Nothobranchius furzeri: one gene and its partners. The protein of the gene in region 1 interacts with the protein of each later gene in a pairwise test. Links are inferred from orthologs where the notes say so. Each region holds a gene or a part of one and is shown in the gene's direction. Other genes may lie near its edges. The genes, in order: kxd1, mob1a and microtubule-associated proteins 1A/1B light chain 3A.

The links.
Region 2: the proteins of kxd1 (region 1) and mob1a interact in binary tests that used the Homo sapiens proteins (3 or more experiments, as listed by UniProt). The two-hybrid records come from large-scale screens. The link is inferred for Nothobranchius furzeri from reciprocal best matches to the Homo sapiens genes KXD1 and MOB1A.
Region 3: the proteins of kxd1 (region 1) and microtubule-associated proteins 1A/1B light chain 3A interact in binary tests that used the Homo sapiens proteins (3 or more experiments, as listed by UniProt). The two-hybrid records come from large-scale screens. The link is inferred for Nothobranchius furzeri from reciprocal best matches to the Homo sapiens genes KXD1 and MAP1LC3A.

What each region holds. Positions count from the first base shown.
Region 1 is NC_091744.1:73,271,080-73,274,832, forward strand, and holds the start of kxd1 (kxDL motif-containing protein 1), read left to right. Parts: upstream 1-1,081; 5' UTR 1,082-1,229; intron 1,230-1,423; 5' UTR 1,424-1,436; coding exon 1,437-1,534; intron 1,535-1,674; coding exon 1,675-1,827; intron 1,828-1,905; coding exon 1,906-1,952; intron 1,953-3,440; coding exon 3,441-3,703; 3' UTR 3,704-3,753.
Region 2 is NC_091757.1:46,534,427-46,538,179, reverse strand, and holds the start of mob1a (MOB kinase activator 1A), read left to right. Parts: upstream 1-1,357; 5' UTR 1,358-1,504; coding exon 1,505-1,518; intron 1,519-2,842; coding exon 2,843-3,009; intron 3,010-3,753. UniProt on the Homo sapiens protein: Activator of LATS1/2 in the Hippo signaling pathway which plays a pivotal role in organ size control and tumor suppression by restricting proliferation and promoting apoptosis.
Region 3 is NC_091743.1:78,251,234-78,254,986, reverse strand, and holds the start of microtubule-associated proteins 1A/1B light chain 3A, read left to right. Parts: upstream 1-1,524; 5' UTR 1,525-1,527; coding exon 1,528-1,693; intron 1,694-3,043; coding exon 3,044-3,099; intron 3,100-3,753. UniProt on the Homo sapiens protein: Ubiquitin-like modifier involved in formation of autophagosomal vacuoles (autophagosomes). While LC3s are involved in elongation of the phagophore membrane, the GABARAP/GATE-16 subfamily is essential for a later stage in autophagosome maturation.

The sequences.
Region 1 (3,753 bases):
TTGCTTTATCTCCTCTAGCGGAGTCCTGGCTGAGTCCTTGAAAGGGCTTGGAGTTCCTCCATCGTGTTGGCCAGTGATCTAACAATGGCCATTATGATCGATGGAAGAGATGGTTTGAATTTCCTCTTTCTCTGTCTCCGTTTTGCTCACGCTCTGCACCCACGCTTCTTGCGTTTTAGTTCATTTGGGATTTGTGGCTTCAGTTGAGGTATTATTTCAGCCTTTCCCATGTTAATCAGCTGCTCCTGATTGTAAACAGCTCGTTGCCATGGTTACGCATCATAACAAATGCTCAAAAAGTGAAAAATGCTAAAAAAAAAAATAGCAGTAAAAATCCTCCAAGCTTCACAGCACCAGAAACAGAAAAGTAAAGTGTCCAAAAAAATACAGTTTTTCTTGAGAAACTAGAAGAAAAAATGCCCAAGAAAAGGCAAAACGTACATATAGTCAACAGAGCTACTCCAATATGCAGCCACAGTGGCGCAATTCCGGAAAAAGATAAAGATATTTTAGTTTTTAAATTTGTTTTTGTTTTTACATTTTTAAAACCCAAGACAAATTTAATATGAAATGGATATAGGGCGTTTTCAATCTTAGAAGGCCAACCAAAATCTGTTTTTCAATCACAGCTTTTCAATAACTCAGCTCAGCAGTTTTATGTTTTTGAGAATTTTCTAATTGAAAATTACGGATTTGTTGGAAAAACACAAAACAAAAACAAAGATAGAAGCAGAATGGACATTAATGTTAAAGCTAAATGTGGCAAAAAGAGGAAATCAGCATGTTTTATGAAATGTTAAATTGGTATTTATAAAGTTAAATAGAACTGTACAGATTCATCTTGACTTGATGACTAAATAACTGAATATATCTCTCAATTTCAAATGAATTGTTTAACGAATTCACGGTAATATGTTGGTGGATGGATTTATAACTAAAAAAAAAAAAGGCCAGAGTCCAGAAAGTTCAATGGGGTTAGAAAAGTCAAGAACACCCCCAGAAAGAGCTAGAAAATGCCAGAAAATGACCAGTTGTGTGCACCATTATACAGCAGGTGGCGGCAATGAGTCGCAAAAGTTGAAAGATACCCGCCGAAGAAGAAAATGAACCAGAAACAGTCATGTAAACAGAAGAAACAGAAATACACGGAAGTGTTTTGTTTTTGTTTAATTTGCCTGTCAAATGTAGTGTTCTGTTGAAAACCAAGGTTGATAACAACACCTGTTGAGGTAAATGATAATATTATTCCTTTATTTTTCACGTAGTATTACCTTTAGCGCAGAAAAACCGCTCGGATGTGAATAAAACAGCCGATTATTTGGATTAGTGGATTTGCAACATTTTTCTCTCGTAATATTTGTAGAGAACTTTAAGTATTGCCATGCCTGATTTGGTGCGTGTTGTTTCGTTTATGAAAATGCAGGTTTTTCGTCGTCATGGTGGAGCCCACAGCCTCCAGTGTGTTCTGTAACAGGATCCTGAGCATGGTTAACTCTGAAGATGTGAATGCCATCATCCAAGCTCAAAGACACATGTGAGTATCAGGCTGTTCTTGTCTGTGAGGCCTGATTACACTGTGTGTAAAAATTTGAGTTGTTTTTTTATGTCAGTTGTAACGTTTCTGCCTTTTTTCTATTATGATAGTTATTTTCTGCCTAATCTTTGTTTCATCAGGCTCGATCGCTTTGAGAAAACCAATGAAATGCTGATCAACTTTAATGGACTGTCAAACGTGCGACTGCAGCAGATGAACGAGCGCTTCCTGCACCACACCCGCACCCTGGTTGAGATGAAGAAGGATCTGGATAGCATCTTCAGAAGAATCAGGTTAGTCATTACTCTGCCTGCACAAACAGGGACGCACAGCCCAACCTCTAATAACTGATCTCCTTTTGTTTCCTCCAGGACATTAAAAGGGAAGATTTCTAAACAATACCCTGATGCTTTCAGCAGTAAGTTAACATTTGCTTATTATCCAAAACAATTCTCAACTTGTAATGAGTTCATTAGTCTGTTGATTTCAATCAATGAAATCAGTAAGTGTTACCTGCATAAATTATTAACATTTCTGTTTTTATTTACTTCTTTTATGGCCTTTTAAAAGTGTTTTTCTGGCATCAAGTAGTAGATTTATTTATTTCTAAATACAATAAAACAGTATTGTTACAAACATTGAAACTAATTTGATTTCTATTCAATTCACAACTACTTTATTAATCATCATGGTAGAGAGGGGGGATGGGTGCAGGGAAGGTGCTAGTTAAGAAGATGCTCTCTGAAGAGCGGGGTCTTCAGGAGTTTCTTGAAAATTGAAAAGGAAGCTGCTGTCCAAGCACTACCAGAATAGGGGCTTGCTTTTCAATTTTCAAGAAACTCCTGAAGACCCTGCTCTTCAGAGAGCATCTTCTTAACTAGCACCTTCCCTGCACCCGTCCCCCCTCTCTACTGTCCACTCCTTTGTTCCTTCCTCTTCATGATTGATGTCAAGTTGTTGTTATTGTTGTTGTTAGCCTCAAGGGCAACATGCCGATTATCACTTGTAAGTCGCTTTGGACAAAAGCGTCTGCTAAATACATAAATATAAACATAATCACAGAGGGAAATTGATTGCTGTAGTAGCTCAGAATAATAATAATAATCAAGTCATCAAAGAGTTATTGTATATTACAATGGCTGTTGGCAGGAAGGATCTCCAGTAGCGGTCAGTGTTGCAGCGAAACTGAAGAAGCCTCTGACTGAAGACACTCTTCTGTTGTCGGACAGTCTTGTGAAGAGAATGCTCAGGGTTGTCCATCATTTTCTTGATTCTCTGGAGATTCCTGGAGATTCCTTCTTTGCATTATCTCCTCCAGTGGCTCTGAAACTGCCGAAACTCTGGCTGAGTCCTTGAAAGGGCTTGGAGTTCCTCCATCGTGTTGGCCAGTGATCTCACATTGCCCATTATGATTGATGGAGGAGATGGTTTGAATTTCCTCTTTCTCTGTCTCCATTTTGCTCCCGCTCTGCACCCACGCTTCTTGCGTTTTAGCTCATTTGGGATTTGTGGCTTCAGTTGAGGTATTATTTCAGCCTTTCCAATGTTAATCAGCTGCTCCCGAATGTAAACAGTGTGTTGCCATGGTTACACATCATAACAAAGCTCAAAAAGTGAAAAAAGCTAAAAAATAGCTGTAAAAATCCTCCAAGCTTCACAGCACCAGAAACAGAAAAGTAAAGTGTCCAAAAAAAATACAGTTTTTCTTGAGAAACTAGAAGAAAAAATGCCCAAGAAAAGGCAAAACTTACATATAGTCAACAGAGCTACTCCAACATGCAGCCACACAGAGCAGCGCAGTTCTGGGTGGTACAGGGAGTTTGTTTGTGTTGAAAAGTTTTTAGAAAACATTGTTCTTCTAAATCTCCAACAGCCATTTCAATAAATCCGGGTTTTTACTTGACAGATGTCCATGAGTCACCTATTTTGGATGATGATGATAATGATGAAGAATTTGACCCAGTACCTCCAAGTTTTGCCACGACAATCACAGCGGCCACCTCGGAGCAAAGCACCGATTCCTGTGACACAAGCCCCGATGTGGTTTCACCCGCCGTCAGCCGATGCTCAGAAGATCTCTCTCAGGAGCCTACCGACACACCAACGTCTGATGGCTTAGAGACAGGAGTTCTGCAAGATGAGGGTCCTGACTCTGTACATGAAGAATAGAGTGAACAATTTGCAAAAAAGATTTTAGTCACTCGAAACGGCTTCAAAGT
Region 2 (3,753 bases), on another chromosome or scaffold:
ATATCAAAATTTGTCGGTAAATGAACGGTTAGTCGCCACTTGCCAACACAAACTATTTGTGTTGGCAGATTCATCAACGGGCTACACCTGGAATTTTTTTGTGTACACTGGCCAAGCTAATTCCTCCAAAGACCATGATTTGAGCTACTCCAATGTGATGGGTCTTCTGACTTTTTGATTTTTGGGCAGTGGCTACATCCTGTACTCTGACCATTTTTACACCAGCCCCACTCTTTTCACTGATTTGCCTGCAAAGAAGATTGGTTGTTGTGGAACTGTCAAGAAAGGTACAACCGGATTCCCTCAGAAGAGTGCCAACGATCGACCTGCAGAAAACGGCTGAGCGGGGGAACATCTGATGGTTAAGAAGAGACAAACTTCTGTTTGTCAAGTGGATGGACACAAAGGTAGTTAACATTTGCCCCACTGTCAATCAGGCTTTCAGTGGGCAGACAATAAAGAGACAAATAAAAAAGGGTGGTGTGTGGGAAAATGAATCCATCCCTGTTCCTAACTGCGTGGTTGATTACAACAAGAATGTAGGTGGGGTGGGTTTGTCGGATGCACTGATTTCTTCTTACAGATTGCAGTACAAAACAAGCAAATGGTACAAGGCTTTCTTCTATCACTTTGTTGATGTAACAGCAGCAAACAGTTACCTTCTCCACAAGGGGCTACACAAATTGAGACAGGACCACACTCATTCAAAGCTACTCACCCACAAAGCTTTCATGGAGCAGTTGGCCTAGGAGATACTGGAGTCTTCTAAGCCTTCAGTATTTCATTGAGGTTTGAAGCTACAGCTGCATTTTTCCAAAAGCCATGTTTTTTTTATATATTTTTTTATACATTTATGTTAGTTAATGCAATTAGTACTTTTGCTCACACTGAATGTTGCTGCATGTGGAGTCAATTAAATTTTATATTTTACGCTGGTTAAAATGGTGAATGGTCATTGTAGTCCATTCTTGTGATCATCAACATAAAATGCTTGAAAACAAGAGGCCCTGAGACTTAGTACTACAGACTTTACTCTGAACCTCCAAATTCCTTCTGTCTCTGTCAACTTGCAGACAATTTTGTATTCCCCAGTGAGTAAAATATGAGGATAAATAAACAACAGTATGACTTAACAAGCGTAAACTCAAAATAAGGAATGCAAATTTTCCTAAAAAGACTGTAAAACAAAACATGTCACTGTATTTTCATACTTTTGTATAAAACAATTTTAATAAAAATGAATTCCTCCTGCACAAAAAAAGTTTATGAGTGTCATACCTATTCTCTACCTGAGAGGGGCGCTAGACTACCCGATGAACTGCTGCAATTAGCCAACAGAGGAAGAGTCACTGTGTGGGTGCAGTTTCAGTTCAGCCAAAGTAGCCGTCAACGCTATTTAGGTGGCAGTGCTTATCCCCAAAATACGTTTCTAAAACAAAATTCCTGCCTTCTAAACTAGGACCAGGAGTTCCAGCCGAGATTCCCCAACAGCGTCTTCGTCAAGATGAGCTTCTTGTTGTGAGTAAAGTGTGAAAAAGTGCTTCCTGACTTTCAGTCGGAGAGCTTGTGGTTAATGTTAGCTGCGCTTCTTCGTACTTCGCCGACAGAAGGGAAGTTCAACCGAGACACTAACAAAAAACAGACAGCTAATCGAATGTCAAAACTACGGGGTCAAATGTAAATCGTTTCCCCTTATATGTAATATCATTTGTCGACGTTTTTCGATTTTCACCTACGTTTATTTATAACCACTTTTTGGCAGAAATAACTTGGAGAAAAAATAGTTACGCTAACTTGATTAGCATAATAATTTACGCTAACATTAAGTTAAAACTGGTGCTCAGCTATAGTGTCTTAATCTTTTGGAGATCTCCAAATGCTGAAGAAGTTAATCTCTGTCTTGTGTTTACAGTCACGCCGTTAGACACGGTCACATTTCCTGTCACTTGCAACAACGAGGTTACCACATATTACAGACATGCTTTAGTTCCTCTGAAAACCAAAAGTCACAGTTTTATGTTAGTTTAACGAATGTGTGAAAGCAGCTAGCTAATTGCACGTTTGATTTAAATATGATCTGCCACACCAAATCAAGTAGAACAAATTAACCAAATGAAGCAAAAATGCTGTAAAAAGGCAAAACACAGACGAAACCTAGAAAATAGATGTTTTTTTTAGTTGACTCAGTCCATCAGTTTTGCATCGTTTCTATTTTAGAGTGTTAACATGCGATTGAAGGTTCATTATAATCTGTTGACAGCTTTGATAATTGGATTGAAAAATTTCTCTTTAAAACAATTGAATGACGCATATACATTAATAAGTGCCGTAACGATACATTTATTAACTATCAAGTCGTATTATTCATCAAGACAAATACGCAGGCAGGAAAAGGCTGAGACTTTTTTCTTCTAATAAACTATATAAATGAGTGTCTAATTGTGCTGTAGACACATGCAGTCAATAATTTGGCACTTTAGTGCACCTTAGTTAAAATATCCTTCCAAAACGGTCAGTGTTGCACAATCGTCAGGTAAAAAATGTACACTGCATTTGAATTTAAATCTGCCATCACTATTGGCTAAGAGGTATTCTATGATGTAAGCTGGTACATTACGATGTCACAATGTTGTTGTTGGCACCTGTGTTAGTGTATTTGTTAGTGGCTCCATCCTCTCAGTCTGCTAGGTAACGGCATTTGTTGCATTTTTCAAACAGGAAGTGGGAGTGGAGTAAGACGTGTAGGGGGTGACTTGCCCTTTAAGCAGCTTTCCATAGAGCATAACACAGTCTTCCGTTGTTTACATTTATTTATTTACTTATCTTTGTGTTCTCTCTTCAGTGGCAGTCGCTCATCTAAGACCTTCAAGCCGAAGAAAAATATCCCAGAGGGCTCCCACCAGTATGAGCTACTGAAACATGCTGAAGCAACGCTGGGCAGTGGGAACCTGAGACAGGCTGTCATGCTCCCAGAGGGCGAGGATCTCAATGAATGGATTGCTGTCAACAGTGAGTGAACAAATACAAAAAGCCCTATGCACTTATTATGCAAACAAGCATTTAAAACTGTCTAGAGGCCAATGTTAAGACGAATCTTTGATGATCTTTGTAAAAATGGCTTAGTGTTTGCAACACTTTGTGGTGTATGAAGAGTACAAAGTACATACAAACTAGGGTTGTCATGGTGTGAAAATTTAACCTCACGGTTATTGTGACCAAAATTATCACGGTTTTCGGTATTATCGCGGTATTTTTTTTAAACGTGTTACATTTTCTAAATAAATCCTGTCTATCAGGAAAATATTGTCCTCACTTTGTGTCTCACTTTTGCCTAAAATGTGTTATTTTGTAATTATGTTGTTTAGTTGTTTACATTTTTCCCCTTTAGTCTTTAAAATACCAATATTTGCCCATAACTTCTTATTTTTGTCTGTTTGATGTCATCATTTTAAAAATATTAGATCAGGTGATGCTCAGTACTCAAGTAGCCTTCTAATCAGATACTTTTTTACCCTTACTTGAGTAATAAACCCTATATCAGGAAAATATTGTCCTCAGTTTGTGTCCTTCCAGTAAGCTTTGCAGATTTGGGAAAATGTCATCAGGCAGTAATCATTGTTAAATTTATAATTATTCTCGGAGAGAGACCAACTCTTATCTGCCCCTGGGAGCCCCGTAATGCATAGCGTCATTTCAACATGGGGGTGTCCGCGACACGGTTTATATGCAGGTAGCGGCGCTGCGGCTGCTTTA
Region 3 (3,753 bases), on another chromosome or scaffold:
CACATAAAGCTCTTAATAATAAAGCTCCATCATACATTAGTGATCTGATTGTTCCATACGTTCCTAACCGAGTACTTTGCTCTCAGAGTGCAGGTTTACTGGTGGTTCCCAGAATATCTAAAAATAGGATGGGAGGCAGATATTTTAGCTATCAGGCTCCTCTCTTGTGGAACCAGCTCCCAGCTTTAGTCCGTGAGGCAGACACCGTCTCTACTTTTAAGACTAGGCTAGGTTATCCAGAGTTATCTCTGTAGATATGCTGCTATAGGCTTAGAATGCTGGAGGACATACTGACCACTTTCCACACTCTACTACTTTCTTCTACAATCTGCTCTTTAACTGCATTATTTCCTGCTATTTCAGCTGTTAACTTTATTTTTACTCTTAAGTGTTTTCCTCCCCAGAAGAAGCTACAATGATGTTCTGCTGAGCTGTAGTGGCCTCATGGAGGGGGCCATTGGCTAGCACACTGCTGCTAACCACTTCTCCCTCTCCTGACAATAACATTTTACTCTCTTTGACATTGAATGTGCTACTCCTAGTTTACCAGATTAATTATAGATTCACTAGGATAAATACAATAAAGTTTATCTCACCAAATAGAATGTTTACTAAGAAACACAAAATTCCTGTTAAAAGGGAGTTTTTCTCTGCACTGTCGCTGCATTCTTAGTATGAGGTGACTCGATGCAACCTGCTGGGTTCCTTAAATAGGAAACTTTTTACTGATTGGCTTAATGACCTGACCTGTATTGGAATGTTTACTGTGTGAAGGTCCTTGAGACGACTCTGGTCCTGATTTGATGCTTTATAAATAAACTTGAATTGAATTGTAGAGCGCCATGTTCTTTCCAATTTTCTAGAGTTTTGTTTTAAAGTTTGTAAATCAGAATTAAACCAGGGAGCCAACTTCCTGTGCTTAATTACCTTTTTTAAAGGGGCAACATCATCTAATGCCACACGTAAAGAAGTAACATTATGAACTAAATCATCAATTTGTGAGGGGCTAGAAATGAAAATATTGCCCTCTGCTACAGTCCTCTGAGATGCTGAGGACAGTAAAGATGGAATAATTGATTTAAAAGATGCAACAGCCTTGTCAGATAAAGACAGACTATAGTGAAATTTACTTTCATGTCTCTAGAACTCAGTTATAAAAAAACTCAAAGGTGATCAAAAAGTGGTCCGAGAGGACTGGATTATGTGGAAATATCGTTATTTTCCTCACACTCTATGCCATAAATCAGCACAAGGTTTAATGTATGATGCCAGGAGTGGGTGGAGCTATGCATTCTTTGGGTAAAACCAGTATATTACTAAAGGCTACACTGAGGCTATCATTTTCAATGTCCACATGAATGTTAAAATCCCCCACTACCATGACCTTATCAGTATTTAGCACCAAATCAGATAAAAATCAGAGATCTGATCCAGAGACGGCCTCAATTTTACTGACAGGAACTGAATAACTTTTCTGAATATTAAATGACAACTTGGCTTGCCTCACTCACCTCCATAAGGCAGCGGATGACGTCAGCGCGTCAGATTACTGGCTTTGTTTGTACGGAGCTGCTGCGGAGCTTCAGACCGAGCCATCTGAAACCCTCCCAGGGCCGTTTTCATCACCTTCTTTCGCCTGAAGCCGCTGCCGGGATGCCGTCGGACCGACCGTTCAAGCAGCGGAGAACGTTCGGTAAGACGGTGCTGTCTACAGCTAGCGTTAGTGCGTTTCAATGCGTAGGTTCACACCGGATTTAACGTGTTTACATGTGTTGATGGTCGGTCTGTAGCTTCACGGTAAACGGGGTCAATGTGACGCCGCAGCCTTTACACAACCGGATCAGCTCCGTGACCCACCGCGAGGCCAAAACAACAAGTTGTGCTGAAACATGACCCCTACACGTATTCTCTGATTAAATCGGTCACCTGACAGGAGGGGAGGAGTCTGGCAGTGACCCGCTCACCTGAACGGACCAGCTGTCAGTGTCAGAAACATGAATATCAAAGCAAGGTGAGAACTATGTAGATGAACACCTGGAACGGGTTGATAGAAAGCTCTAAAACTGGAGTTTCACCTGGAACACCCTAACATCTCTGACTGGAACCACAGGATGATGTCATCAGGAAGAGACCCATCCGGCCAATGGCGAAAATGATAACCACGATTATTTTGGTTGATGCAAATATATCGCGGGATCAGGTCGCGAGGCAGTAGTCTAAGCAGGGAGGCCCAAGCTTGAAATCAGGTGTGTTGAAACTGGGAAAACACTAAAACATGTGGGATAGTGGGCCTTGAGGACCAGAGTTTGACACCCATGCTAAGGTCCAGAACGTGGTTATGATGGTTTCATTTAGAAATGAGTTTCATCCATCCTCTTCCGTTTATCTGGAATCTGGTCATGGGGGGCAGCAGCCTAAGCAGGGAGCCCAGACTTCCCTCTCCCCAGCCACTTGGGCCAGCTTCTCCGGGGAATCCCAAGGCGTTCCCTGGCCAGCTGAGAAACATAGTCCCCTCAGTGTGTCCTGGGTCTTCCTTTAGGTCTTCTCCCAGTTGGATGTGCCTGGATAACCTCACCAGGGAGGCGTCCAGGAGGCACCCCAACTAGAAGCCCGGGCCACTTCAACCGGCTCCTCTCGATGTGGAGGAGAGGCGGGTCTAGTCCGAGCTCCTCCCGGATGACTGAGCTTCTCACCCTATCTATAATTCCGTTTATTTATAAAGCGCCAAATCCCGACAAGTCCTCTTAAGGCGCTTCTCAAAGTAAACATTCCAATAGTTCAGTTCATTAATGCAATCAGTAAAAAGTTTCCTATATAAGTAACCCAGCAGGTTGCATCGAGTCACTGACTTGTGTCAGAGACTTCACAGGAAGAAACCTCCAGAGGATCCTGGATCAGCATAAGCAGCCATCTGCAGTGACACACGGAGTCGAAAGCCTACCATCCAAAATGGCTGCAATATGGCCACCAATCCAAAACACATCTTCTCTTGTTGCTGTAAACTTCCTAATCTCATCATGCTGTCTATTTGTTTTGTCGACAGCTGATCGATGCAAAGAGGTCCAGCAGATCCGAGAGCAGCACCCAAACAAGATCCCTGTAAGCTGCACACGCACGAACCTGGGGGGTAGTCCACAAAGCGAGTTTAGAACATCGATGCCTTCCTGATAAATGCCTGCCTAACAAAGTGCATCTGTGCACTCAAGGATCTGTCGGTTCCACCGACTATGCTCAGGTGGATTCAGTTCTCTTTAATTCAAGTGAACCTCACAGGCAGCCTCTGTTAATTGATGCTGGATAACTGAGAAGGGAAGCAAAGTGTTTTGCTCTTCTCTTAGACGGAACATTCATGCCCACGAGGACTATCTGAACTAAAACAGAGACCGCCAGCTGCTTGGTTATAGCCATGTATCTGGCGCTATTTAAGCCGAGCTTATGCTTCTGAGTGTGCGTCGGTACCAAGGGATCAAGGCCGCTGGCTTTGCTCCAGCATGGAAGTACCAAAAATTACAGTTCCACCCTCATCCGCTAGGGGCTAGTACCAAAACAGAGCAAGTTCCCTTTGACTCCCATGTTAAAAAAGCCAGTTTCACAGCATAAATAAACACATTTACAGCCTGGTTCAAAAAGCCATTCTAGGTTTGACTGATCTTTCTAACATTTATGACAACTCTGAGGGGGTGAGTTATTTTATAACTCTTTGACTGTAATTAAATGCTTGAAATTATGAATAATTATTGAGCACCAGAGCTA